Macaca fascicularis: one gene and its partners. The protein of the gene in region 1 purifies or fractionates together with the protein of each later gene. This does not show direct contact. Links are inferred from orthologs where the notes say so. Each region holds a gene or a part of one and is shown in the gene's direction. Other genes may lie near its edges. The genes, in order: DDX21, RRP1B, C1QBP, DKC1, RSL1D1 and CDK9.

Region 1 (4,370 bases):
ACTGGGCGCTGTGGCTCATGCCTATAATTCCAGCACTTTGGAAGGCTGAGGCGGGCGGGTGGATCACCTGAAGTCAGGAGTTCGAGACCAGCCTGGCAAAGATGGTGAAACCCCATCTCTACTAAAAATAGAAAAATTAGCTGGGTGTGGTGGCGAAGGCCTGTAATCCCAGCTACTAGGGAGGCTGAAGGATGAGAATCGTGGAGGTTGCAATGAGCTGAGATCGCACCACTTCACTCCGGCTTGAGCAACAGAGCTAGACTCCGTCTCAAAAAAAAAAAAAGGCTGATTGTCAATGTCAGGTATTCTATGATTCTAACCCATTTTTGAAATTTATTTTTTCATATATATATTATATATATAATATTATATATTTATATATGTATATATAAAGACATAGGGGTTTTGCTATGTCGCCCAGGCTGGTCTTGAAGTCCTGGCTTCTTTGGAGGCTGAGGCAGGAGATTCGCTTGCGCCTGGGAGGCAGAGGTTGCAGTGAGCCCAGGTCGCGCCATGGCACTCTCTAGCCTGGGTGACAGAGAAGGATACTCTTGTCTCAAACCACAAGACTTCTCTCTCTCCCGCTAGTCTATAAAGCTTCTTGAGGATAAGGCTTTTGTGTCTGCTAGTGAATCCTAGCCCTGTTTGTCCTACCTGACACAGTGAACGCTCATAAAATGTTTGAGTGCACGCATGAATGACCGACTAGAACCGACTGAATTTTTTTTTCCTTCAGGCTCCTGAGTCTGGCCGACACTTTCAGAGTAGACGTTTCCAAGAGATGATTAAGAATACACATCTGCGCCGGGCGCGGTGGCTCACGCCTGTAATCCCAGCACTTTGGGAGGCCGAGGCGGGCGGATCACAAGGTCAGGAGATCGAGACCACGGTGAAACCCCGTCTCTACTAAAAATACAAAAACAATTAGCCGGGCGCGATTGTGGGCGCCTGTAGTCCCAGCTACTCGGGAGGCTGAGGCAGGAGAATGGCGTGAACCCGGGAGGCGGAGCTTGCAGTGAGCCGAGATCGCGCCACTGCACTCCAGCCTGGGCGACAGAGCGAGACTCCGTCTCAAAAAAAAAAAAAAAAAAAAAAAAAAGAATACACATCCGCGAGTCTGCACGTGCAAACTCGAACAATATAACATAAAGCACTGAAGATGCTCCACTCAAAAGCAACTAGAAGCCTTCATTTTTCAGGCTGGGGCTAGGGGAAATCTGGCCAGTGTTGGAGAATACAAAGCTAACCTTTGTAATTCCTTGCGGTTTTACCGTTCCATAGGTGCCTTCTAGACCAAAGGCCGCCAGTGGTCAGTCAATGCACTAAATTTAGCCACAGTCACAGGCCGTTGCTTTGAATTTACCTCGCGGAGAGCAGTCTTTCCTGTGCTTCCTGCTTTCCCCGGAAGTGCCTTGCTACGGGAAGTGACGAGAGCCGGGTGGACAGAGGCGGGGGAACTACCTCTTCCTCTCCACGCGGTTGAGAAGACTGGTTGACCTGGGCAGCCTGCGCTGAAGATGCCGGGAAAACTCCGTAGTGACGCTGGTTTGGAATCAGACACCGCAATGAAAAAAGGGGAGACACTGCGAAAACAAACCGAGAAGGTGAAACGGAGGGACCTGGGGCCAGGAGGGACGCTGAGTGGAGCGGAACCCCGGGGTGCGGGAGAGGTGCCCGGGCTGGGATCGTGAGAGCGCGCGGCGGGTAACAGCGCGTCCAGAGACCCGGCGTGGGTCTTGACGGGCGGTCGTCCAGGAGTGGTGCGCTCCCAGGCAGTGGATGCGTCTGCCCGACCAAGCCGGGGCCGCCGCGCGCTGACCTCTTCCTCTGAGATTAGAGGCATCCACATTGTTCCAGGAACTCTGGTAGAGAGGCCCTATTGGAGCTCGGGAGAAGGCCGGGTGTCCCACGTGGTCCCCGGCGACTGGGCGCGCCTCACACAGTGCGCAGAGTTGGACATTCAGTCAGGCTCCACGTTGCTGGCTGAGACATAACTCCCGGCTTGAGCGTGCGCGAAGGGAATTACAAGTCAAGTCAAAGTGGGGACTGGAGGCAGGATGCGGTGGCTCATGCCTGTAATTCCAACACTTTGGGAGGCCGAGGCGGGCGGATCATGAGGTCAGGAGTTCGAGACCAGGCTGGCCAACATAGTGAAACCCCGTCTCGACTAAAAATACAAAAATTAGCCGGGCATGGTGGCTCACGCCAGTAGTCCCAGCTACGCGGGAGGCTGAGGCCGGAGAATTGCGTGAACCCGGGAAGCGGAGGTTGTGGTGAGCCGAGATCGCGCCACTGCAAGTCAACCTGGGCAACAGCGAAACTCCGTCTCAAAAAAAAAAAGTGGGGACTGGAGCTTTAGAGTAGACTGGAGATATCTTAACCTCATCTGCGCACGTGGGCGGCGTCTTTAGTGACTTTTTAAACTCTAGTAAGGGAAGTACAGTTTGTTTTCCGGTAAGCCGCCCTGAGAAGATGACGTAACTCAGTTCTTCTTAGTATTATATTGACTAGATTTCCCATGGAAATGTAAAGGCATGTGTTGCGGTGCTGAGTGTACACCATGTTTTTTTATATAGGCCAGCAGTGTGCAGTAGTCTTAACCTTGACAGCCGTCCCTTGCTTTGCTGTTGCTTCCTAGTGATTTAACTTGTGACTGAGTCTCTGTTCTGAGATAAGTCAGTGGGAAGAAAGATTGTTCTTGGACTTAGGTTGTACACTACTTAGAATGAACTTTACTTGTTTGTTTCCCTGCCTTTTGATATGGAGCTCTTACAATAGCAATATTTTAGAATCGTAGGAAGCCGCGGCAGATTTGTACTCAGGTGCAAGAAGTAGTGGTCCTGGTTTACATCGCATCAGTCAGTTGCTTTCAATTTGGCATGCTCAAATCCAGAGATACATGACCAAACTCTGTTATATTCCAAAAGAGACCACCAGGATGGGAAACTTGGTCTTATTTGGTGGAACCAAGGGATGAAAACGAATAAAATTTTGGAAGGAGACTAGCTTGTTTTTTGTTGGCAAGGAGATTATTTTTAATCTATGATTTGAGAACAGAGACCAGGCCTGACGTTTCCAGGAGGCAGAATTCAGTGTAATATGTATTTCCAAGATTGTTCTGGGGCTCTGCCAGAATAGGTTTCTAAGGAGGCTACAACATGTGTCTAATTGCTTTCAATAGTATGAAAAGTTGTAGGGGGTCAGAAAGTTCAAATAGGAGCCACAGTCATCTGTCTTACTTGGTTCTGAGGTGTCACTCCTTCCATATTCTTGTAACTTATTTATTTTATTTTAAATTAAGTACATCTTTTTTACACAAGGGTGATAGACTGAGTTTTTATAACTTTTTGTTTCATAAAGTGTCTCTTTTATTTTATTTATTATTTGTTATTTTTTTTTGAGATCGAGTTTTGCTTTCGTTGCCCAGGCTTGTTCTCCATTGGTCAGGCTGGTCTTAAACTCCCAACCTCAGGTGATCCGATCGCCCACCTCGGCCTCCCAAAGTGCTGGGATTATAGGCATGAGCCACCGCGTCCTGCCCTTTTATTTTTTGTAGAGACAGTCTTACTGTCACCCAAACTAGAGTGCAGTGGCATGATTATAGCTAACTGCAGCCTTGAATTCCAGGGCTCAAGCAATCCTCCCACCTCAGCCTCCTAAGTAGCTAGGAGTATAGGTGTGTGCCGCTACGTCTGGCTAATTTAAATTTTTTTTTTTTTTTTGAGACAGTCTTGCTGTGTCGCCCAGGCTGGAGTGCAGTGGCGCGATCTCAGCTCACTGCAACCCCTGCCTCCCGGGTTCAAGCAACTCTCCTGCCTCAGCCTCCCAAGTAGCTGGGACTACAGGTGCATGACCATGCGTGGCTAATTTTTTTTGTATTTTTAATAGAGACGAGATTTCACTGTATTAAGCCAGGGTGGTCTCCTTCTCCTGACCTTGTGATTCGCCCTCATTGGCCTCCCAAAGTCCTGAGATTACAGGCGTGAGCCACCATGCCCAGCCTAATTTTTAAAGTTTTTCAATAGAGAAAGGGTCTTGCTATATTGCCCATGCTTGCCTGTAACTGCTGGCCTCAAACAATCCTCATGCCTTGGCCTCCCAGAGTGCTGGGATTACAGGCATGAACCACTGCACCTGGCCCTAAACTGTCTTTATATAAATTAATTTGCTCTTGTGAGATAGGCAAAGTGCAGAATTCCTGTTTTGGAGTTAAAGGCTGCAGTGAGCTATGATGATGCCTCTGTACCACAACCTGGGTGAAAAATAGAAATTGTCTCTTAAAAAAACAAAAAAATCACTGTTGTTTTACCTGGGATTTTAGCAGGAAGAAAGAAAAGAAACCCTGCTTAACATCATCAATCTGTAGATAC
Region 2 (3,626 bases), on another chromosome or scaffold:
ACCTTCGGGCTGAACAGAAACATGACTGCAGGTAAGTGGGTTTTGCCGGCGGCAGGTTTCTCTGGAGCACAGCTGCGGCTCCTGGCGAGGCTCGCAGCCTGGTTCCACAGGCGCTGAGGAGAGAGGTGGGGTCCGAGCTCCTCACTGCCCATTTCTTTTTTTTTTTTGAGACAGAGTCTCACCGCTCTGTCAACCAGGCTGCAGTGCAGTGGCAAGATCTTGGCTCACTGCAACCTCCGTCCCCCGCCGGGTTCAAGCGATTCTCCTGCCTCAGCCTGCCAGGTAGCTGGAATCACAGGCGCATGCCATCACGCCCAGCTAATTTTTGTCTTTTTTCACCATGTCGGCCGGGCTGGTCTCAAACTCCTGACCTCAGGTGATCCGCCTGCCTCAGCCTCCTAAAGAGCTGGGATTACAGACATCAGCCACCGAGCCCACCCCTCACTGCCCATTTCTGAGTCAGAAGGAAGCACCTGTGTGTCCCTCGTCCTCAAAGGGCTGTGAGTGGGGTGCCAATGGTGAGCGGGCAGCCAGTTGCCTGGGACCTCTTAAGAGAGGCTACCCGGAGAGACGTGATCCAAAAAGCCGTTCTCCCAAGTGTCTTTCTAAATACTGAAAGCCGTCCCACAGAGAGGCCATTTGAGATTGTAGTGGTCCATCAGCTGTAGCTGTCTCTCTGAGAAACTTCGGAACAACTTGCTTCCTGGGGGACGGAGAAGGGTAACCCCTATCTTGATACTTTTCATATCGGTGCCATCCATTCGAGTTGCTTTTACAAAGGAAACCAAAGTTTTAAAAAGTATTATAGGCCAGGCGCAGTGGCTCATGCCCGTAATCCTAGCACTTTGGGACGCCAAGGTGGGCGGATCACGAGGTCAGGAGTTCCAGACCAGCCTGGCCAACATGGTGAAACCCCATCTCTACTAAAAATATAAAAATTAGCTGGGCGTCGTGGCAAGAGCCTGTAGTCCCAGCTACTCAAGAGGCTGAGGCAGGAGAATTGCTTGAACCCAGGAGACAGAGGTTGCAGTGAGCCGAGATCATGCCACTGCACTCCAGCCTGGGTGACAGACTGGGTGAGACTCCATCATCGCAAAAAAAAAAAAAAAGGTATTATAACGAGTTTAGGACCTGACTCTTGTTGGGAACTGCAAATAATTGTGTGTGTGTGTATGTGTGAGTGTGTGTACATGTGCCAGTATGTGTGTGTGTGCGTGTGCATGCACAAGTGTGAGCGTGTATGTTTAGGGAAAAGAGACTCTCAGAGAGCCTGAGGAGCTCACCTAGCCTTTACAACTGGATGAGCAGGACGAATCCTGCCCTCCACATAGCAGATTCGTCCCAGACTCAAATGCCTAGTTCACTCATTGTCCAAAACACCCCCACCCTCAATGTTCACCCTTCCAGGAGCCACCCTACCAGCAGCTCCGCTTGGTCTGTACAGGCGGCCTTGGGAGGGTGAGTTGAGGCAGGGGACATGGCCTCACTGCCCTCCTTCCCTCAGAAGGCTCCCAGGCCTGCTGTCTGCAGGGCCTTGAGATGGCCCTGCTTCGTCCTAGCAAATGGGCAGGGTTGGCACCCAGGCAGGACACTGTCCGAGCTGTTGGAGGGACAGCTGTTGGACCTGCTTAACATGGGGCCTTGCTCTCATTTGGGACAGAATTCAAGAAGACAGACAAGAGTATCTTGGTCAGTCCCACGGGCCCTTCCCGAGTGGCCTTCGACCCTGAGCAGAGGCCCCTCCACGGGGTGCTGAAGACCCCCGCCAGCTCACCGGCCAGCTCGCCCCTGGTGGCCAAGAAGCCCTTGACCGCCACACCGAGGAGACGGCCCAGGGCTGTGGATTTCTTCTGAGGGGCAGCAGAGTCCCTTGTAAAAGACTGCTTTTGTACAGAATACGCTATAAATTATACCTTTCCGAATGTGGGGCCTTTTTTATGGTTTTCTACGTTCCCCTAAGTTGTGTGCACGAGGTTCTGAACGTGCCCGCGGGCTGCTGCGTCCTGGCCCCTCTGTAGCGGCTGCGGGCGTCTTGGTTGAATCTTTTGCTACAAACCATGTTTGTGTTCGAGCTCTCCAGGATGTTACATTTTTGGGTAACCTCAGTGATTCCCGTTGGTGTGGGAAGTGAGACCCTCCCTGAAGCTGAGGAGAGCGCGTTGGTCGGAACTTTAAATCAGTCAGTGCTGTTGGTACATGAGAGGTGGAATTGCACTTCCTGTTGAGCTCCCAGTTCTGCGGAATTTGGTCCTCATTCCTGTATTTGCTGTACTAAGTTGGTTTCTGTTAGTCTGAACAATCTGTTTTCTTTTCAAAGCATGTGGGGCTTGATTGCCATGTTCTGTGGGTGTTCGGCAGGTTACCGATGGGAAGATTCTTGTCACAGAATCAGCAATACCATAGTTTTTCTACATGTGCTCAGCTGGGGGTGTGGACAGGTAGGGGTGAGGAAAGAAGAGGCTCTGTGTTCGGGGGGCTTTTTCTTCTCCTCCCCGCTACCCGGTTTCCCTCCCTGTTTTCCTACCTCTACGGCAAGCCCAAAGTGTCTTCTCGGGAGGCCAGCGCAGCCCCCAGCTCTTACCCAGGACCCCGCCCCGTGCTGAGCCCTCTGCTGAGGTCCTCGCGTGGAGCACACTCATTCCTCCAAGCCCTTGCGTCTCTCTCTCTCTCCGTCCACGTTCCAGCCGAGTCACTGCCTGACCGGCTCCAGGGCAGCTCCCCATCTTCCCTGGAGGCTGCCGTGCGTATCTGGAGCCTGCGCTCCCGCTCCGCGACCTTTCCTCTCAAACGCGGAAGCGAGCGCTTAAGAGTTTAGACAATTCTCCTGTAAATTCGTGACAAACACGGGCGGAAGGCACTCAGGCTTTCGTTGGGGAAACAGAAATGAGGCCTTCTTTTGAGCAGCGATTGCTCGATCTGTTTGAGAAAGCGTCTGACCTGGGCCTGAGAGCTGGAGAAGCTGCAGATTCAGAGTGAGCGGCTGCGGAGGAGAGCCGCCAAGGCTGCGCGCCTTCTCCATGCTCCCGCAGCTCCCGCAGCTCCCGCAGCTCCCGCCTGCGCAGCAAGAGGGCACGGGCGCACGGTTTGGGCTGGCATGCTGCTCTCCCAGCCAGCCGCGCTCTGCTCAGGCCTGGAGGTGAAAGCCGCCTGCCTCCCGTTATGCGCCCCATACAGGAGTCCTGGTTTTTCACCAAAAGCCGGCCAGTCCCCTTCACTGCTGCCTCCCAGCAGAGGGCCCCAGGTTCTCCAAGGTCCCAGCTATGGCTTTGGACAACGTGGCTTCAGTCCCTGGGGTTGCAGAGCTGCATTGGGTTTACCTCGGTCTCATTCGCTCACGGAGCCAAGGGCGGGTTTCACCTGGGAACATCAGACTGACTTGCTGGCGTCAAGAGCAGTTGACTCACTGATGAAGGCCCTGGTGAGAAGAAAGCACTCACTCTGTTCTTCGCCTACTCTGTAATCGTTTTGTCATGATGAGCCATGAAAAAATTAACTTGTGCTGTTAAATCGTCACTGTAATGAGGTCTTACGTACGACATACCTGTGGTGGCTGCATGGTTTAATAGCTGCATTGGATAGGATCCTCACGTCACATTCAGAACCAAAACTGACACAGTGAAACAATT
Region 3 (4,225 bases), on another chromosome or scaffold:
GCTTCTGGACCTATCTAAATGATACAAGCCGGCTTCTTGTCCCCAGAAAAATGATGTTCCATTAGAACTTGGATGCAGGGTCGGAGGTGCAGAGAGGGAAGGTCACAGAAATTACTCATGGATCCTGCCCTTCAGGATGTCACAGTCTGGTTGGGTTTAACCCGGTTAAAACCAGCAATGCCAGGAGGTTTCTGTTGAAGAGAATGAAGCCTAAGGGCTGGGTGCGCACAAGCATGAGTTCTAAGCCGATGGAAAAAAGGAGGTTCTAGGAAGGCCTCTTTCAGGAAAACCCTGACCTCTTCCTTTGCTCTTACAACAATCAGCACAGAAGAGTTCTGTGACCAAAGGTTTGGGTTTTTTCCCTCCACACTAAGCAGCAGACACCAGCGGGGTGTCCTCCAATTCAATCCCAACATTATCTACCTGGAGACAGTGTCAGATCCCATGAGACAGTGTCAGATCCCATAGGTTGAGGGCTCAGTCCCCAAGACCGCCCCGACCTTCAGACAGCAATGGCAAGTCTGGGCCTCTGAAACTTCCGACCAGCCCGCTTCAAGTGGGGGTTCCCACGACCCCCCTCTTTGGGTTGTATTAACTCACTGGAGCAGCTCACAGAACTCAGGGAAACACTTTTACCGGTTTCATATAAAGGATATTACCAAGGATACAGATGAGGAGATGAGCAGGGTGGGCAGTGGGGAAGAAGCTCCGATCTTCCTCGCCGTCCCTGGGCCACCACCCTCCAGGAACCTCCACGTATTCAGCTATCAGAGGCTCTGCAAACCCTGTCCTCATGGGTTTTTATGGAAGCTTCTGGACATCAGCATCCCTTCCCCCAGGGCATAGGGTGGGACCTTCTCTGGGAAGGGACTTAAGACCCATAATCAGAAATGTGGGAGATTAGAGTCCTGCATTGGGGCGGGTGAAAGGAGGGCGGGAGAAGGGGAGAGTGAGAGTCTGTTTCCTGAGGCCTAACACACCCAACATTATCACAGAACACTGTAACGAGGGCTATGGGAGTTACGACCCAGGAACTGGGGATGAAAACCAATAAATACATAATATAACACCACAGCCTCCTAGAGGAAAGTGACCGTGTAAGGGGCTGGTGAGAGCTGGGGGAAGACAAGAGTGCATTCCACACAGCCCAAAAGCCTGGCGTGCCTTGAAAACAGTAGGTGGAAGCGGCCACTAGAAAGAATTAAACAGCTTCGGACAGAGGACTCAGGCCAGCGCAGCAAGAAGGCTCCGGAAACCGGATTCGAGGCTTCCCGGGCTGCACCGGAGGCCTCCAGCAGAAGGCGCGATTCCGCCTGGGGCCTTAGGTCCTCAGTGCGCCGGCGCGGGAAGCGCTTCCGGGCAAGGGCGGGGCTTCCGGCGGCGCTTTAGGTCGCGGGGTACTTGGGCCTGGATTGTCCTTTGCATCTGCACGTGTTCGCAGTGGATTGCGCGATGCTACCTCTGCTGCGCTGCGTGCCTCGTGTGCTGGGCTCCGCCGTCCCCAGCCTCCGCGCTGCCGCGCCCGCCTCGCCTTTCCGGCAGCTCCTGCAGCCGGCGCCCCGGCTGTGCGCCCGGCCCTTCGGGCTGCTCAGCGTGCGCGCAGGTTCCGAGCGGCGGCCGGGCCTCCTGCGGCCTCGAGGACCCTGCGCCTGTGGCTGTGGCTGCGGCTTGCTGCACACTGAAGGTGAGGTTCGCGCACGCGGGCCAGGGGTGTGGTTTGCGGTTCACGGAGGGGAAAAGACCAGGAGTGGGGCCTGCAACCGACCTCCGAGGTCTGGGACATTTTTCCATTGATTGGCAACCAGCGGGTTAAACCCACGTGTGATCATATTCCCCCCACCTCCCCTATCCACCAGTTTCATTTTCTGTTGGTAGGGGGGTGAATAAAATTAAATACTAGAGGGTACCTTCATCCTTAGTCTTATTCTCTCGAAAGTGGACTTTTGGGAAAGCCCAAGGTCGTGTTTGAAAATAGCATACGATACAACTATCGTTTGGCAAGTGGAAGAGGATGATCGGAAATTCTTCTGCTTTATAGCGGAAAGTGGTAATGCGTTCATTGTTGGAAATCACTTTTCCAGCATCAGGCTCAGCTTCCCACTAATATTATGGTATTTTTACAGATAAGGAAACTGAGGCTTCTAGAGTAACTGTAATAGCAGAGAGATTAGAAATAGTCCAGGTTTCTGGCTGCGATAACCAGGGTAATAGTTTTATGTTTTAGACTAACTGGCTTTCCTTTTTATGTATATGGATTTCTTTTCTAGGAGACAAAGCTTTTGTTGATTTCCTGAAGGATGAAATTGAGGAGGAAAGAAAAATCCAGAAGCATAAAACCCTCCCTAAGATGTCTGGAGGTTGGGAGCTGGAACTGAATGGGACAGAAGCGAAATTAGTGCGGAAAGTTGCCGGGGAAAAGTAAGTACTGGTCTGGGGATCCCAGGGCACCGACTCCCTTAACCTTGCAAGACCCGTCCTGGGTCATCCCTAGAAGAGCCTTGAGTTCAGGTGTGGATAAATGGTTTTCAAGAGAGTGAAGGATTCAATTGGACAGCTTCATAAGGTCCAGGCAGTCCATTCACTGAACACAAATTTGCTGTGGGCTGGTTACTAAGGAGACAAAAATGTAGCGCAAAAAAGTACTGACAGAATCTGTTTGATCTCTGATTTACAGCGCTGATACAGTAGCACCCTGCTCTCTCTAATGTTTAGCTTGGGTGAAAATGCAAGGCATGTAACTTATATGTAACAGGATGGGGTTCCACTGTAGTAAGGGCTGCCATCAGAGGCGGGGAGTTTGTGACCTAAGTCAGGTGCCCCACCTTCTCCTAAACTGTTAGTGTTTACACTTTTCTGCATTATAGTCATCCATAATCTCATTACACAGATAGACATTTGTCATCTTCCAGATTTTTAAATTGAGGCTGGGTGCAGTGGCTCACGCCTATAATCCCAGCACTTTGGGAGGCAGAGACGGCAGATCATGAGGTCAGGAGATCGAGAACATCCTGGCTAACACTGAAACCCTGTCTCTACTAAAAATTTTAACAGGGTGTGGTGGCAAGCACCTGTAGTCCCAGCTACTCAGGAGGCTGAGGCAGGAGAATCGCTTGAACCCCCGGGTTTCAGTGAGCCGAGATGGCGCCACTGTACTCCAGCCTGAGGGACAGAGCAAGACTCCATCTCAAAAAAATAATAAATAAATAAATAAATTGAATTTTCTTTATAATTGACCTTATGATGTATATGTAATTCTTTTTTAAAATCACAGCTTTAATGTGATTTAATTTATATGGCATAAAATTTACCCATTTATTGAAGTTTATTAAATTAAGTGGTTCTTAGTCCTCACAGAATTATGCATCGGTTACCACTACCTAATTCTAGAACATTGTTGTCAATCCCCAAACAATACCTATTAGCAGTCACTCATTATTCCTCCCTCTAGCCACCCCAGGTAATCACTAAGCTACTTTATGGATTGCCTCTTTTGGACATTTCATATAAATGGAATCATACAATTTGTAGCTTCCTCCCCACCCCACGGAGTCTTGCTATTACCCAGGATGGAGTGCAGTGGCACGATCTTGGCTCACTGCAGCCTCTGCCTCCCGGATTCGGACAATTCTCCTGCTTCAGCCTCCTGAGTAGCTGAGATTACAGGCATGCGTCCAGTTAATTTTTGTATTTTTAGTAGAGATGGGGTTTCGCCATGTTGGCCAGGCTGGTCTCAAACTCCTGACATCGTGATCCGCCCTCCTCGGTCTCCCAGAGTGCTGTGATTACAGGTGTGAGCCACCCTGCCCAGCCTGTTTACATTTTTAATTGTTGGGTTGTAAGAGTTCTTTAGTTTTGACCGGGCACGGTGGCTCACACCTTTAATCCCAGCACTTTGGGAGGCCGAGGCAGGTGGATCACAAGGTCAGGAGATCAAGACCATCCTGGGTAATGCAGTGAAACCCTGTCTCTACTAAAAGTACAAAAAATTAGCCAGGTGTAGTGGCGGGCGCCTGTAGTCCCAGCTACTCAGGAGGCTGAGGCAGGAGAATGGCATGAAGCCCAGAGGCAGAGGTTGCAGTGAGCCGAGATCACGTCACTGCACTCCAGCCTGGGCGACAGAGTGAGACTCTGTCTCAAAAAAAAAAAGAATTCTTTAGTTTTTCTGGGTATAGTGATCTTACCAAATTAATGATTTGCAAGTATTGTTCCCCATCTTGTGGGTTTT
Region 4 (3,626 bases), on another chromosome or scaffold:
GGTATTTTGTTTTGTGTTGTGTCGTTGCTTTGTAGAATTTTGATAAGCTGAATGTAAGGACAACACACTATACACCTCTTGCATGTGGTTCAAATCCTCTGAAGAGAGAGATTGGGGACTATATCAGGTAAGTGTTGGGAGGAGGCACTGTGCAAACTTACTTTCTTTTGAAAATGCTTTCACACTAGCTATTCAAGAAGGCAGTGACATGCCAGAATAGCTTTGTCTTGAATATATAACCTGTACCCACAGTGAATTCTTTTTCTTTTAACTCTAGATGTGTTGTTTCATTGGCGCACAGGAGTGGGTTATACATTAATTTTTTTTTTTCATTCTAGGACAGGTTTCATTAATCTTGACAAGCCCTCTAACCCTTCTTCCCATGAGGTGGTAGCCTGGATTCGACGGATACTTAGGGTGGAGAAGACAGGGCACAGTGGTACTCTGGATCCCAAGGTGACTGGTTGTTTAATCGTGTGCATAGAACGAGCCACTCGCTTGGTGAAGTCACAACAGAGTGCAGGTATTTGGGAGAGGGAGGGAAGGACTGGCTAGAGTGGAAAGCTTTCTGTTATTTCCCTTCTATGTTTTGTCTGCTGGAAACTATTTCTTCGTTAGGGAAAAAAAAAATCCTAAAGCAGAGATACTGTCGGTTTCTGTGTACCTTCTGTCCCCTGCCAGATCTTGGTGGTCCACCCTTTTTGGAATTCCACATACTAAGCATGTATTCATCAAGCTGACGGGATCCATTTGTAGCCTGGAGGCAGAACTCTGTCCAGGTTCAGCTCTCAGCTTGTCACTCTAGGCTTCTCACTCTGTGCCACTGCTTCTGCCTAAAGTATCCTTCCTTCATTTTTATCTGAGAAAAGCCTGCTTATCTTGCAAGGCTTTTTCCAGGCAGGTTCTACACTGGTACTCCCAACTGTCCCTGTTAGTACATTGAATTCCCAGTGAGAGAGTATCTTCATTCTTTCCTACATCATCACCATGAAATCTGTCTTCATGCAGATTTTATAGAAACACAAGGTCAAGCTGCCTGCTTTTCCTGTTGTGCAAAATGGGAGTGACTGAGCATATAAGAAATATGAAAAACAGAAAACTCAGTGGCCAAACCTGACTACTCTTGTCATTTTTCAGGCAAAGAGTATGTGGGGATTGTCCGGCTGCACAATGCTATTGAAGGGGGGACCCAGCTTTCTAGGGTAAGTCTGCAATTGTAGGGAGGACACCCTTTGTTGATTTGGATCTCTGAGCCCCTAAACATCTGGAGATGGGTTAGCTGTCCTGGCTGACTCCTTTTGTGCCCTTTTCAGTCAGCTGCCACAGCCAGCCTGGACCAGTGACTGCACATTTACATTCTGATGAGGGTGTTTGTTTTGCTTTGTGTTTGTTCTTAGGCCCTAGAAACTCTGACAGGTGCCCTATTCCAGCGACCCCCACTTATTGCTGCAGTAAAGAGGCAGCTCCGAGTGAGGACCATCTACGAGAGCAAAATGATTGAATACGATCCTGAAAGAAGATTAGGTGGGTCATTAGGTCTGTGAGTGGGTATGAACACATTCTTCAGGATTCTGTTCTCTTGTTAAAAGTAGATGCCCTTGAAGTTGAAGACTTTCTGAAACCTGCGCTACAGCTGGGATATTGTCTGTGGGCAATAGTTTTTATTATCTTTTGTTAAAAAGTGAACAGTGCCTAGTAAAGTGAGATGGCTTTTGTACTTTTTATGATGACTGCTTCTGCTGGAATTGAAATATTTTCATTCTGCATTTGTGTAGTTCGGTGCTTTGTTCAAAGGTGTTTTCAGCAAAGTATGTTTTGCATGTGTTTTTTACTTGTTGCAATTTTGACTGCTTAGAAGTTTCTGTTGTACAAAACATCATTTAAAAGGTTTTTCTGTTGAATCCAGAGTATTCTCCAGATTGAAGCCTACGTGTAAAATGCTACCAAATGGCAAAAAGCAACAATAAACAGTTGGATTGTACTTTTCTTTTAAACATAGCAATACTTAGCAGGGCTGCTCAGATTAAGTTGTCAGAAGTAAATTTAAGACAATGCCTATTTTCCGCCCATCCATGAAACATACCATGCTGAATATACCTGCAACTAAGTGTTAAAAATTCTGTTAATATCAGAATTACAGATCTTTAAATACAACAAATGCTTATATTTTAAGAAGTGGTTGCCCTTGGCATATTGTGTCAGTCATGCCCTCTGTCTGTCACCTCTAGTCTTGATGGCTCAGATGAAGGTTAACCATTTCTCAACCAGTGATGTATTTATAGTAGGTGCTGCTTTTCTTTTGTGTGTATATCTTAGGAATCTTTTGGGTGAGTTGTGAGGCCGGCACCTACATTCGGACATTATGTGTGCACCTTGGTTTGTTATTGGGAGTTGGTGGTCAGATGCAGGAGCTTCGGAGGGTTCGTTCTGGAGTCATGAGTGAAAAGGTATGTGTTACGGGGCTAGAAGTTTTAGAGCTTGTTCTTAACATCTGCCAGCCTTTGGTGGCACTCCACTTGCTTCATGTTGTGGGAAAGGCGCTTTCCAAAGTGTTGAGTTCAGTCCAGGGCAGCTTCCCTGTTCTGTTAATTAAACTTTGGGACATTAAAATGGACTAAGGGAGATGATTGGGTAGGAAGTATTATTCTATTCATTTGCCTCCCAGCCTACAAAAATGCCTGCTTGGGATCTAATACTTCAGTGGTTAAAGATGCCTGGAAGAGCCAGGACTGAAGAGGCTGAAGACATAATGAGCTTGGACTAGTAGACAAGTTACATTCAGTTTTAGGAAGTTTGGGATCTGATGGGCCGAGATGCAAAAAAACTGAATTATTTTCATACATGGCTGCTTTTCAGGACCACATGGTGACAATGCACGATGTGCTTGATGCTCAGTGGCTATATGATAACCACAAGGATGAGAGTTACCTGCGGCGAGTTGTTTACCCTTTGGAAAAGTTGTTGACATCTCATAAACGGCTGGTTATGAAAGACAGTGCAGTAAGTTCCGGGTTAGGAGTTTATATTTGGACAGAACATACTCCAAAGATGAGGCTTGCTCTTTTTATTGTTTTCCTTGGGTTTTATTTATTTATTTTTTCAAGTCCAAACCAAGTATACTAATTTAAAGTAAAAGTTTAATGGTAGGAATACTTAAAAATAAGGCACATTAGGCTGGGCACAGTGGCTGATGCCTGTAATCCCAGCACTTTGGCAGGCTAAGACAAGAGGATCACTTGAGCCCAGGAAGGAGTTTGAGACCAGCCTGAGCAACATAGTAAGACCCTGTCGTCACAAAAATAAAAAATAGCCAGGTGTAGTGGCACATGTCTATATTCCCATCTACTTGGGAGGCTGAAGTGGGAGAATCGCTTGAGCCCAGGAGATCAAGGCTGTGAGCTGTGTTTTTATGATGATCAGAGAGTTGGCCTTTTATAAATTAAAGCATACTCTCTTTTCTCTAACTTGAGGGATAAAAATTTCTGGATATTTAAAATGTTTGTAGTTGGTAATTATTTATATTCAAATCTTGTACAGATGTTTGCATATTTTGTATGTGTATACGCTGTAATAAATACTGAAAGATGGCACCATAATAGTTGAAAAAACTCAGTCACAAAACAGTG
Region 5 (2,699 bases), on another chromosome or scaffold:
AACAGTCATCCCACCCCGGCCTGCCAAAGTGCTGAGATGACAAGTGTGAGTCACCACACCTAGCCCCAACCAGTTGGCTTTTTTTTTTTTTTTTTTTTTTTGCTTTGGTTTTTTTTGAGGATGGAGCCTCAATCTGTCACCCAGGCTGGAGTGCAGTGGTGTGATCTCAGCTCACTGCAACCTCTGCCTCCCTGGTTCAAGCAATTCTCCTTCCTCAGCCTGCCAAGTAGCTGGGATTATAGGCGTATACCACCACACCCAGCTAATTTTTGTGTTTTTAGTAGAGACGGGGTTTTGCACGTTGACTAGGCTTGTCTCGAACTCCTGGCCTCATGTGATCCGCCCGCCTCAGCCTCCCAGAGTGCTGGGATTACAGGCATGAACCACCGCACCCAGCCACCAGTTGGCTTTTACACAGAGAATTTGGGAACCCCTGCCCTACACCATGTGCCAGGGATGTGCAGCTACAGTTGGAGGACTCAGGATTTGCTCCCATGTGTGTCTGCTGTGCTCCTCATGGTGCTTCCAGGAGTCTCTCCCCTCAGTCGTAGGGAAAGGTGGTTTTCCTCTGACTGGACCAGGAAGACCTCTGGGTCTTCACAATTCTTTTTTTTTTTTTTTTTTTTTGAGACAAGGTCTCACTTTGTTGCCCAGGCTGGAGTGCAGTGGCATGATCTCGGCTCACAGCAGCCTCCACCTTTCAGGCCCAAGCAATTCTCATGCCTCAGCCTCTTGAGTAGCTGGGATTACAGATAAGTGCCACCATGCCCGGCTACTTTTTGTATTTTTAGTAGAGACGGGGTTTCACCATGTTGACCAGCCTGCTCTTGAACTCTTGGCCTGAAGTGATCCACCTGCCTCAGCCTCCCATAGTGCTGCGATTACAGACATGAGCCACTGCACCTATCCCTCATTCTTAATAGTGAAATACAGCTTATCTCTGTCATCATACTGAGGTGTACCTTTTGGGGGTTAACTAATAAAAACAGTACCTTGGCCATGTGCTGAAAAAGAGTAACTTGGCCGGGCACAGTGGCTCACGCCTGTAATATAGCACTTTAGGAGGCCAAGGCAAGTGGATCACCTTAGGTCAGGCGTTCGAGACCAACCTGGCCAACATAGTGAAACCCTGTTTCTACTAAAAATAAAAAAAATGAGCAGGGCGTGGTGGCACGTGCCTATAATCCCAGCTACTCGGGAGGTGGAGGTTGCAGTGAGCTGAGATGGTGCCATTGCACTCTAGCATGGGCAGCAAGAGCGAAACTCCGTCTCAAAAATAATAAAAATAAAAACAGTAACTCCTGGAGTTAGAGTGTCAGGTGTTGTGGCTTTTTCTGTATTAAACTTTCTTTTTTTTTTCCTAGATTCAAAAACATGCCACAGGAAAGAAGTCTCCAACAAAGAGTCCTAATCCCAGTACACCTCGTGGGAAGAAAAGAAAGGCCTTGCCAGCATCTGAGACCCCAAAAGCTGCAGAGACCCCAGGGAAAGGCCCAGGGAAGAAGCAAAAGATCAAAGAAGAGGCAGTGAAGGAAAAAAATCCTTCACTGGGGAAAAAAGATGTGAGACAGACTCCAAAAAAGCCAGGGGCCAGGTTCTTCACCACTCTTAGTAAATCTGTGAGAAAAGCTTCCCACACCCCCAAAAAATGGCCCAAAAAACCCAAAGTACCCCAGTCGGCCTAAAGTCAGTGATTCAGCCGGAAGGAAACTTCAGTGCTGCCTCCAGAGCTTCTTAGAAATACTCAGCTCTTGACCCTCTTTATAAGTAACCTTCTGCAAACGTCAGGCCTGGACTTCGATTTTTTAAAACCTCCATAAGTAGTCCAGGCACGGTGCCTCATGCCTGTAATCCTAGCACTTCAGGAGGTCGAGGCGGGTGGATCATAAGGTCAAGAGATTGAGACCATCCTGGCCAACATGGTGAAACTCCATCTCTACTAAAAATACAAAAATTAATTTGGCATGGTGGCGAGCGCCTGTAACCCCAGCTACTAGGGAGGCTGAGGCAGGAGAATTGCCTGATCCTGGGAGGCAGAGGTTGCAGTGAGCCGAGATTGAGCCACTGCACTCCAGCCTGATGACAGAACGAGACTCCATCTCAAAAATAAATAAAAATAATAAAACCTCCATAAATAATTTTGACACATGTTCCTGGGTATAATAATATATTTTTAAATTGTCCTTCTGTGTATTTGCTAATACAATAGAGGAAAAATAGAGTGCTTCTCTGTGGTGGTTCAGCACTTTGGGAAGCCAAGGTGGGAGGATTGCTTGAGCCCAGGAGTTTAGGACTATCCTGGGCAACTTGGTGAAACCCCATCTCTACAAAAGAAAAAAAAATAGTGTGGCATGGTGGTGTGCACCTGTGCTCTCAGGCTGAGGTGGAAGGATCAAGTGAGCACAAGAGGTCGAGGCTACAGTGAGCCACCATCACCCCACTGTGCTCCAGCCTGGGTGACTGTGAGATTCCGTCTCAGAAAAAAGTATAACGTTGCTTTGCTTCTGAGTAGACACACTGTTGGCTTTCCAAATCACGTGGGTCTGACTGGAGGTCTGGGATGTCACCCATCACATACATTTGTGGTCATCCCCAAAGTGGCCCAGTGAGGGCCTCACTGTATGAGAATACAGCTACAGAATTCAGGAGAAGCATGAGTTTCTTGGCTCTCATGCTGAGTTTGTTGGTCTAAGCTTAAG
Region 6 (4,315 bases), on another chromosome or scaffold:
GGAATCTGGGGGCCGCTGGAGCCAGGAAGATGCAGGCGAAGGGATGGGCGCGATGGGGGAGGGAGATGGGGGGGTGAGTGGTGAGCTCCCGCCTGCATAAGGACAGCAAGCCTCCCCAGTGCTCTCCTCCTGGCCCAACCACGGATAGCCTGAGTCAAGAGAATCCCCTTCACAGTCAGACACCCAGCTTTGTCGCCGTGTGACCTTGGGCAAATGACCTCACCTCTGAGCCTCAATGTCCTCTTCTGCAAAATGGGTTAGTGATCCTGACTATGGGGCTGTTGATTCAGGATTCGGCGGGAACGCCCAGCACTTCCTGAGCACACAAAGAGTGCTGAGAAAATGGTAGCTGTTTTTTGCGATTATTGACCCGGGGCCTGATCAGCTCTGGCGCGACTCGGCGAAGGCGCGAGTCCTGCGGGTCCCATCCCTGCCTCCTGGAGAGCCAGGCTCCAGCGATAGAAGGCCCGGGCGTTGCTTGCTCGTCGCCTCCAGTGCCGCCGCGCCCCCTGGCGGCCGTCGGTTGCCATGTCAACGGAGGGTGGCGGGGACCGGGGGAGGCGGAGGCGGGGGCCGTTTTCTCCTCCCAGGGCCGGAGGACGCTCCCTCCGCGCCTCCCGCCTTCGCCTCTTGGGGGGGCACTCCGAGCCGGGGAGGAAGGGGCTCTCCGCGGCAGCCGGCATGTGGGGGTAAACTGAGGCACGCGGCTGGGCGCCCGCAGCCAGGTGCCGAGCGCGGGGCCCCACCTCCGAAGGCGGAGGAGGGGCCGCGGGCGGTGACGCGCCGAGGGCGGCCGGCGGACAGCGAGCGGGCGGGCGGGCGGGCGGTGGCGGCGGCGGCAGGTGCGGCCGCGGAGGGTGGGAGGGAGGAGGGCGGGGGCGGGCGGAGGAGGAGGGGAAGGCGAGGCCGGGCACCTCCCCCTTTATAACGCGCCCCCTCCCGGGCTCTCGGGCCGTCTCCTAGTCGGCTCTTCCCGTCTCGCCCCCTCGCCCGGCCGCCCCGGGCCCGGGCCCGGCCAGGGAGCCCCCAGGCCGCGGCTCGGGGGCTGCCCCCCCGCCCGCCGCCCCGCGCAGCCCGGCGGAGGCGGCGCCGTCGGAGGAGGAGGAGCAGGGCACTGCGGCTGGCCCCGGATCGGGCGCCAGAGCGGCAGCAGCTTCGGCAGCAGCGGCGGCCCGGGCCCATGCAGCGGGACGCGCCACCCCGAGCCCCAGCTCCGGCGCCCCGGCTCCCCGCGCCCCCGATCGGGGCCGCCGCCAGTAGTGGCGGCGGCGGAGGCGGGGGCAGCGGCGGCGGCGGAGGCGCCTCTGCAGCTCCGGCTCCCCCTGGCCTCTCGGGAACTACAAGTCCCAGGGGGCCTGGCGGCGGGCGGCGGGCGGAAGAGGCGGGGTCGGCGCCGCGAGGCCGGAAGTGGCCGTGGAGGCGGAAGTGGCGCGGCCGCGGAGGGGCCTGGAGCGCGGCGGCGGCGGGACCCGGAGCGGGAGCGGCAGCAGCAGCGGCTGGGGGCGGCGGCGGCGCGTTGGAGGCGGCCATGGCAAAGCAGTACGACTCGGTGGAGTGCCCCTTTTGTGATGAAGTTTCCAAATACGAGAAGCTCGCCAAGATCGGCCAAGGCACCTTCGGGTAAGGCTGGGCCCCTCGGGGCCGGGAGCCGTGGGCCTGCACCCCTAGGGCGGACGTCGGGATGCCCCGGGCCCCGCCCGAGTTGGTAGAGAAACCGTCTGTCCCCGGGCTTGCCCACTGGTCTTTAGGCCGCGCCGCACCCCGCCCCGGCCTGAAGGAGCCGGCTGGTGGGGAGGAGCCTGAGGCCGGTGGTGGGGGCGGGGAGGGGCTGCAGAGAGGCGCCCGTGAGGGGAACGGGATCTCTCCAAGAGACGCCCAAGTGAGGAGAAGGGACTGAGAGAAGGAAGCAGAAGCTCCGAACGAGACAGGGTGCCGGGTGGCGGGGTAGCCGCGTGCCCTGGGTACTTACCCCAGCCCCGCCCGGGAATCTTTTTGCTGCTGCCCCTCCTCCGGTAGTGGGGGAGGGGCGGGCCCTGCGGAAATCGCCTGATGAGCTCTCGGGTCTCCCTTTCCGCCTGCAGGGAGGTGTTTAAGGCCAGGCACCGCAAGACCGGCCAGAAGGTGGCTCTGAAGAAGGTGCTGATGGAAAACGAGAAGGAGGGGGTGAGTACGGATCGGGCGTGCGGGCCAGCCGTCTAACTGCCCAGGACCCCGGGTCGGTTTTCCACCCTGCTGCTTCTAGGAGTCTCAGGTTGAGATTTAATTTTTTTCGTAGTAGTTCAGAAATTTCCAGGGAATTTGGCCTCCACCCTAAAACTAAATGCTTCATTCTTAGGCAGTTATGGGTGAGACCGGGAGGGGGAGTTGATGCATGCATCGTGTGCACTTTAGTTCACGAAGTTAGGAAGCCTTTAAACACCTTTTTTTAGTGTTAAATTTTGCTTAATGTTAAAGAAAGATACATATGCATGCAAATTTTTGAAAAGTGACTAATACTCAGTTATTTAATGTGTTTAAAAGGAGCGGTCCCTCCACCCCATCTTAGCTCAAGTACAACGTCCCATAAACCTTCCTTTTCCTGATGTGCTTTAGCGAGGACATTTTTGAATCGTCATGTTTGTTGCCAACGAAACAGCCATAGAGCTGAAGTTTGAAGGCTGAAACCGCCGAGCATTTAGTGGCTAATAGCAAAGTATTGCTGTTTCAGTTTGTTGTCTCAAATTATCTCCTTGAAGTGTGCATGCTCCTACTATATCCATTTTACAGGCAGAGCTTCTGAGACAGCTGGTTTCAGAGCCCATGATCTTGCTCTGTCTCCCAACTTGCCTCTCAATATAGACCCCAGGGCTGGGCTCTGTACTGCGCTCACTCTTGACCACTTTCCCCTCTCTCCCACCCAGTTCCCCATTACCGCCTTGCGGGAGATCAAGATCCTTCAACTTCTAAAACATGAGAATGTGGTCAACTTGATTGAGATTTGTCGAACCAAAGGTAAGTTGTTTGGATCTTATGAGGAGATGACACTTGTAGCCTAAGGTTTTGTTCGTAAAGTTGGAACTAGACCCACCTAAACTGCCTCCTCTTAACTCAGATGGACCCATGGTGACTGCTTTCTCTGGTCCTCTTTCATCGTAGCTGGTGCTTCCTCGGGGTCTGCCCTGGCCCAGAAGAGGCACTCAGAAAATATTTGACCAGTGAAGGAAGGAACAGACAGATGCTCTGGAGGGCTTGGGTGCCCATGGGTTGGAGCAGGAAGAAAGAAACTGGTTGTGGGAAAGTGTGTTGGGTGTGGCTTTCTTGACTTTTTCTTCCTTGTATTCCTGCCTCAGCTTCACCCTATAACCGCTGCAAGGGCAGTATATACCTGGTGTTCGACTTCTGCGAGCATGACCTTGCTGGGCTGTTGAGCAATGTTTTGGTCAAGTTCACGCTGTCTGAGATCAAGAGGGTGATGCAGATGCTCCTTAACGGCCTCTACTATATCCACAGGAACAAGGTGGGGGCGAGAGCTGGGAGGAGGACCCAGGCTTGGGCTGGCCTTGGCTCCCACTCCCGGGTGGATATCACTGAAGGAGCCACTCTTGCCCTTCTTGCAGATCCTGCATAGGGACATGAAGGCTGCTAACGTGCTTATCACTCGTGACGGGGTCCTGAAGCTGGCAGACTTTGGGCTGGCCCGGGCCTTCAGCCTGGCTAAGAACAGCCAGCCCAACCGCTACACCAACCGTGTGGTGACACTCTGGTACCGGCCCCCGGAGCTGTTGCTCGGTGAGGACTCCCGAGCGGGCCGAGGGGGGTGAGGGCCAGGCATCTACCTGGCCCCCGCCCCCCCACTGCCAGGGCTTCTTGAGCTGCCGGCCCTGGGGCATTGAGTCTCAGGAGGCCTCCGGGCTCAAGGGGCCCTCCTGGTGCGCTCTTCTTCCCAGGGGAGCGGGACTACGGCCCCCCCATTGACCTGTGGGGTGCTGGGTGCATCATGGCAGAGATGTGGACCCGCAGCCCCATCATGCAGGGCAACACGGAGCAGCACCAACTCGCCCTCATCAGTCAGCTCTGCGGCTCCATCACCCCTGAGGTACGGGGTCCCGGTCCCCCGGCAGAGGAGTGGGGAGTGGAATGGAGGGAGCGCTCCTCTCTGGAAGGGAGGCTGGTTTGGTGACAGGGCCTGCCCTTGAGAGCCACACAGGCTATGCGCCAGTCTTGGTTCCATCAGCCATTCTGTGGCCTTGGGCAGAACAACTGAGTCAGCGCTGGGTTTCTCTTCTGTGAACCAGAAATGGGACGTATATCAGGGTTGGGCCTGGCATGTGGTATG

The links.
Region 2: the proteins of DDX21 (region 1) and RRP1B purify together in Homo sapiens (affinity purification with mass spectrometry; 3 studies listed by BioGRID and IntAct, with this or other methods). This does not show direct contact. The link is inferred for Macaca fascicularis from reciprocal best matches to the Homo sapiens genes DDX21 and RRP1B.
Region 3: the proteins of DDX21 (region 1) and C1QBP purify together in Homo sapiens (co-immunoprecipitation; 3 studies listed by BioGRID and IntAct, with this or other methods). This does not show direct contact. The link is inferred for Macaca fascicularis from reciprocal best matches to the Homo sapiens genes DDX21 and C1QBP.
Region 4: the proteins of DDX21 (region 1) and DKC1 purify together in Homo sapiens (co-immunoprecipitation; 3 studies listed by BioGRID and IntAct, with this or other methods). This does not show direct contact. The link is inferred for Macaca fascicularis from reciprocal best matches to the Homo sapiens genes DDX21 and DKC1.
Region 5: the proteins of DDX21 (region 1) and RSL1D1 purify together in Homo sapiens (affinity purification with mass spectrometry; 3 studies listed by BioGRID and IntAct, with this or other methods). This does not show direct contact. The link is inferred for Macaca fascicularis from reciprocal best matches to the Homo sapiens genes DDX21 and RSL1D1.
Region 6: the proteins of DDX21 (region 1) and CDK9 purify together in Homo sapiens (affinity purification with mass spectrometry; 3 studies listed by BioGRID and IntAct, with this or other methods). This does not show direct contact. The link is inferred for Macaca fascicularis from reciprocal best matches to the Homo sapiens genes DDX21 and CDK9.

What each region holds. Positions count from the first base shown.
Region 1 is NC_088383.1:77,478,855-77,483,224, reverse strand, and holds the start of DDX21 (nucleolar RNA helicase 2), read left to right. Parts: upstream 1-1,444; 5' UTR 1,445-1,517; coding exon 1,518-1,604; intron 1,605-4,370.
Region 2 is NC_088377.1:3,386,297-3,389,922, reverse strand, and holds part of RRP1B (ribosomal RNA processing protein 1 homolog B), read left to right. Parts: coding exon 1-31; intron 32-1,660; coding exon 1,661-1,854; 3' UTR 1,855-3,626. UniProt on the Homo sapiens protein: Positively regulates DNA damage-induced apoptosis by acting as a transcriptional coactivator of proapoptotic target genes of the transcriptional activator E2F1.
Region 3 is NC_088390.1:5,502,413-5,506,637, reverse strand, and holds the start of C1QBP (complement component 1 Q subcomponent-binding protein, mitochondrial), read left to right. Parts: upstream 1-1,357; 5' UTR 1,358-1,452; coding exon 1,453-1,684; intron 1,685-2,267; coding exon 2,268-2,418; intron 2,419-4,225.
Region 4 is NC_088395.1:160,877,258-160,880,883, forward strand, and holds part of DKC1 (H/ACA ribonucleoprotein complex subunit DKC1), read left to right. Parts: intron 1-35; coding exon 36-127; intron 128-338; coding exon 339-523; intron 524-1,137; coding exon 1,138-1,202; intron 1,203-1,397; coding exon 1,398-1,524; intron 1,525-2,316; coding exon 2,317-2,447; intron 2,448-2,542; exon of another isoform or gene 2,543-2,674; intron 2,675-2,856; coding exon 2,857-3,000; intron 3,001-3,626.
Region 5 is NC_088394.1:12,521,537-12,524,235, reverse strand, and holds the end of RSL1D1 (ribosomal L1 domain-containing protein 1), read left to right. Parts: intron 1-1,364; coding exon 1,365-1,685; 3' UTR 1,686-2,135; downstream 2,136-2,699. UniProt on the Homo sapiens protein: Regulates cellular senescence through inhibition of PTEN translation. Acts as a pro-apoptotic regulator in response to DNA damage.
Region 6 is NC_088389.1:16,210,977-16,215,291, reverse strand, and holds the start of CDK9 (cyclin-dependent kinase 9), read left to right. Parts: upstream 1-1,413; 5' UTR 1,414-1,528; coding exon 1,529-1,620; intron 1,621-2,081; coding exon 2,082-2,163; intron 2,164-2,900; coding exon 2,901-2,991; intron 2,992-3,329; coding exon 3,330-3,496; intron 3,497-3,596; coding exon 3,597-3,768; intron 3,769-3,926; coding exon 3,927-4,075; intron 4,076-4,315. UniProt on the Homo sapiens protein: Protein kinase involved in the regulation of transcription.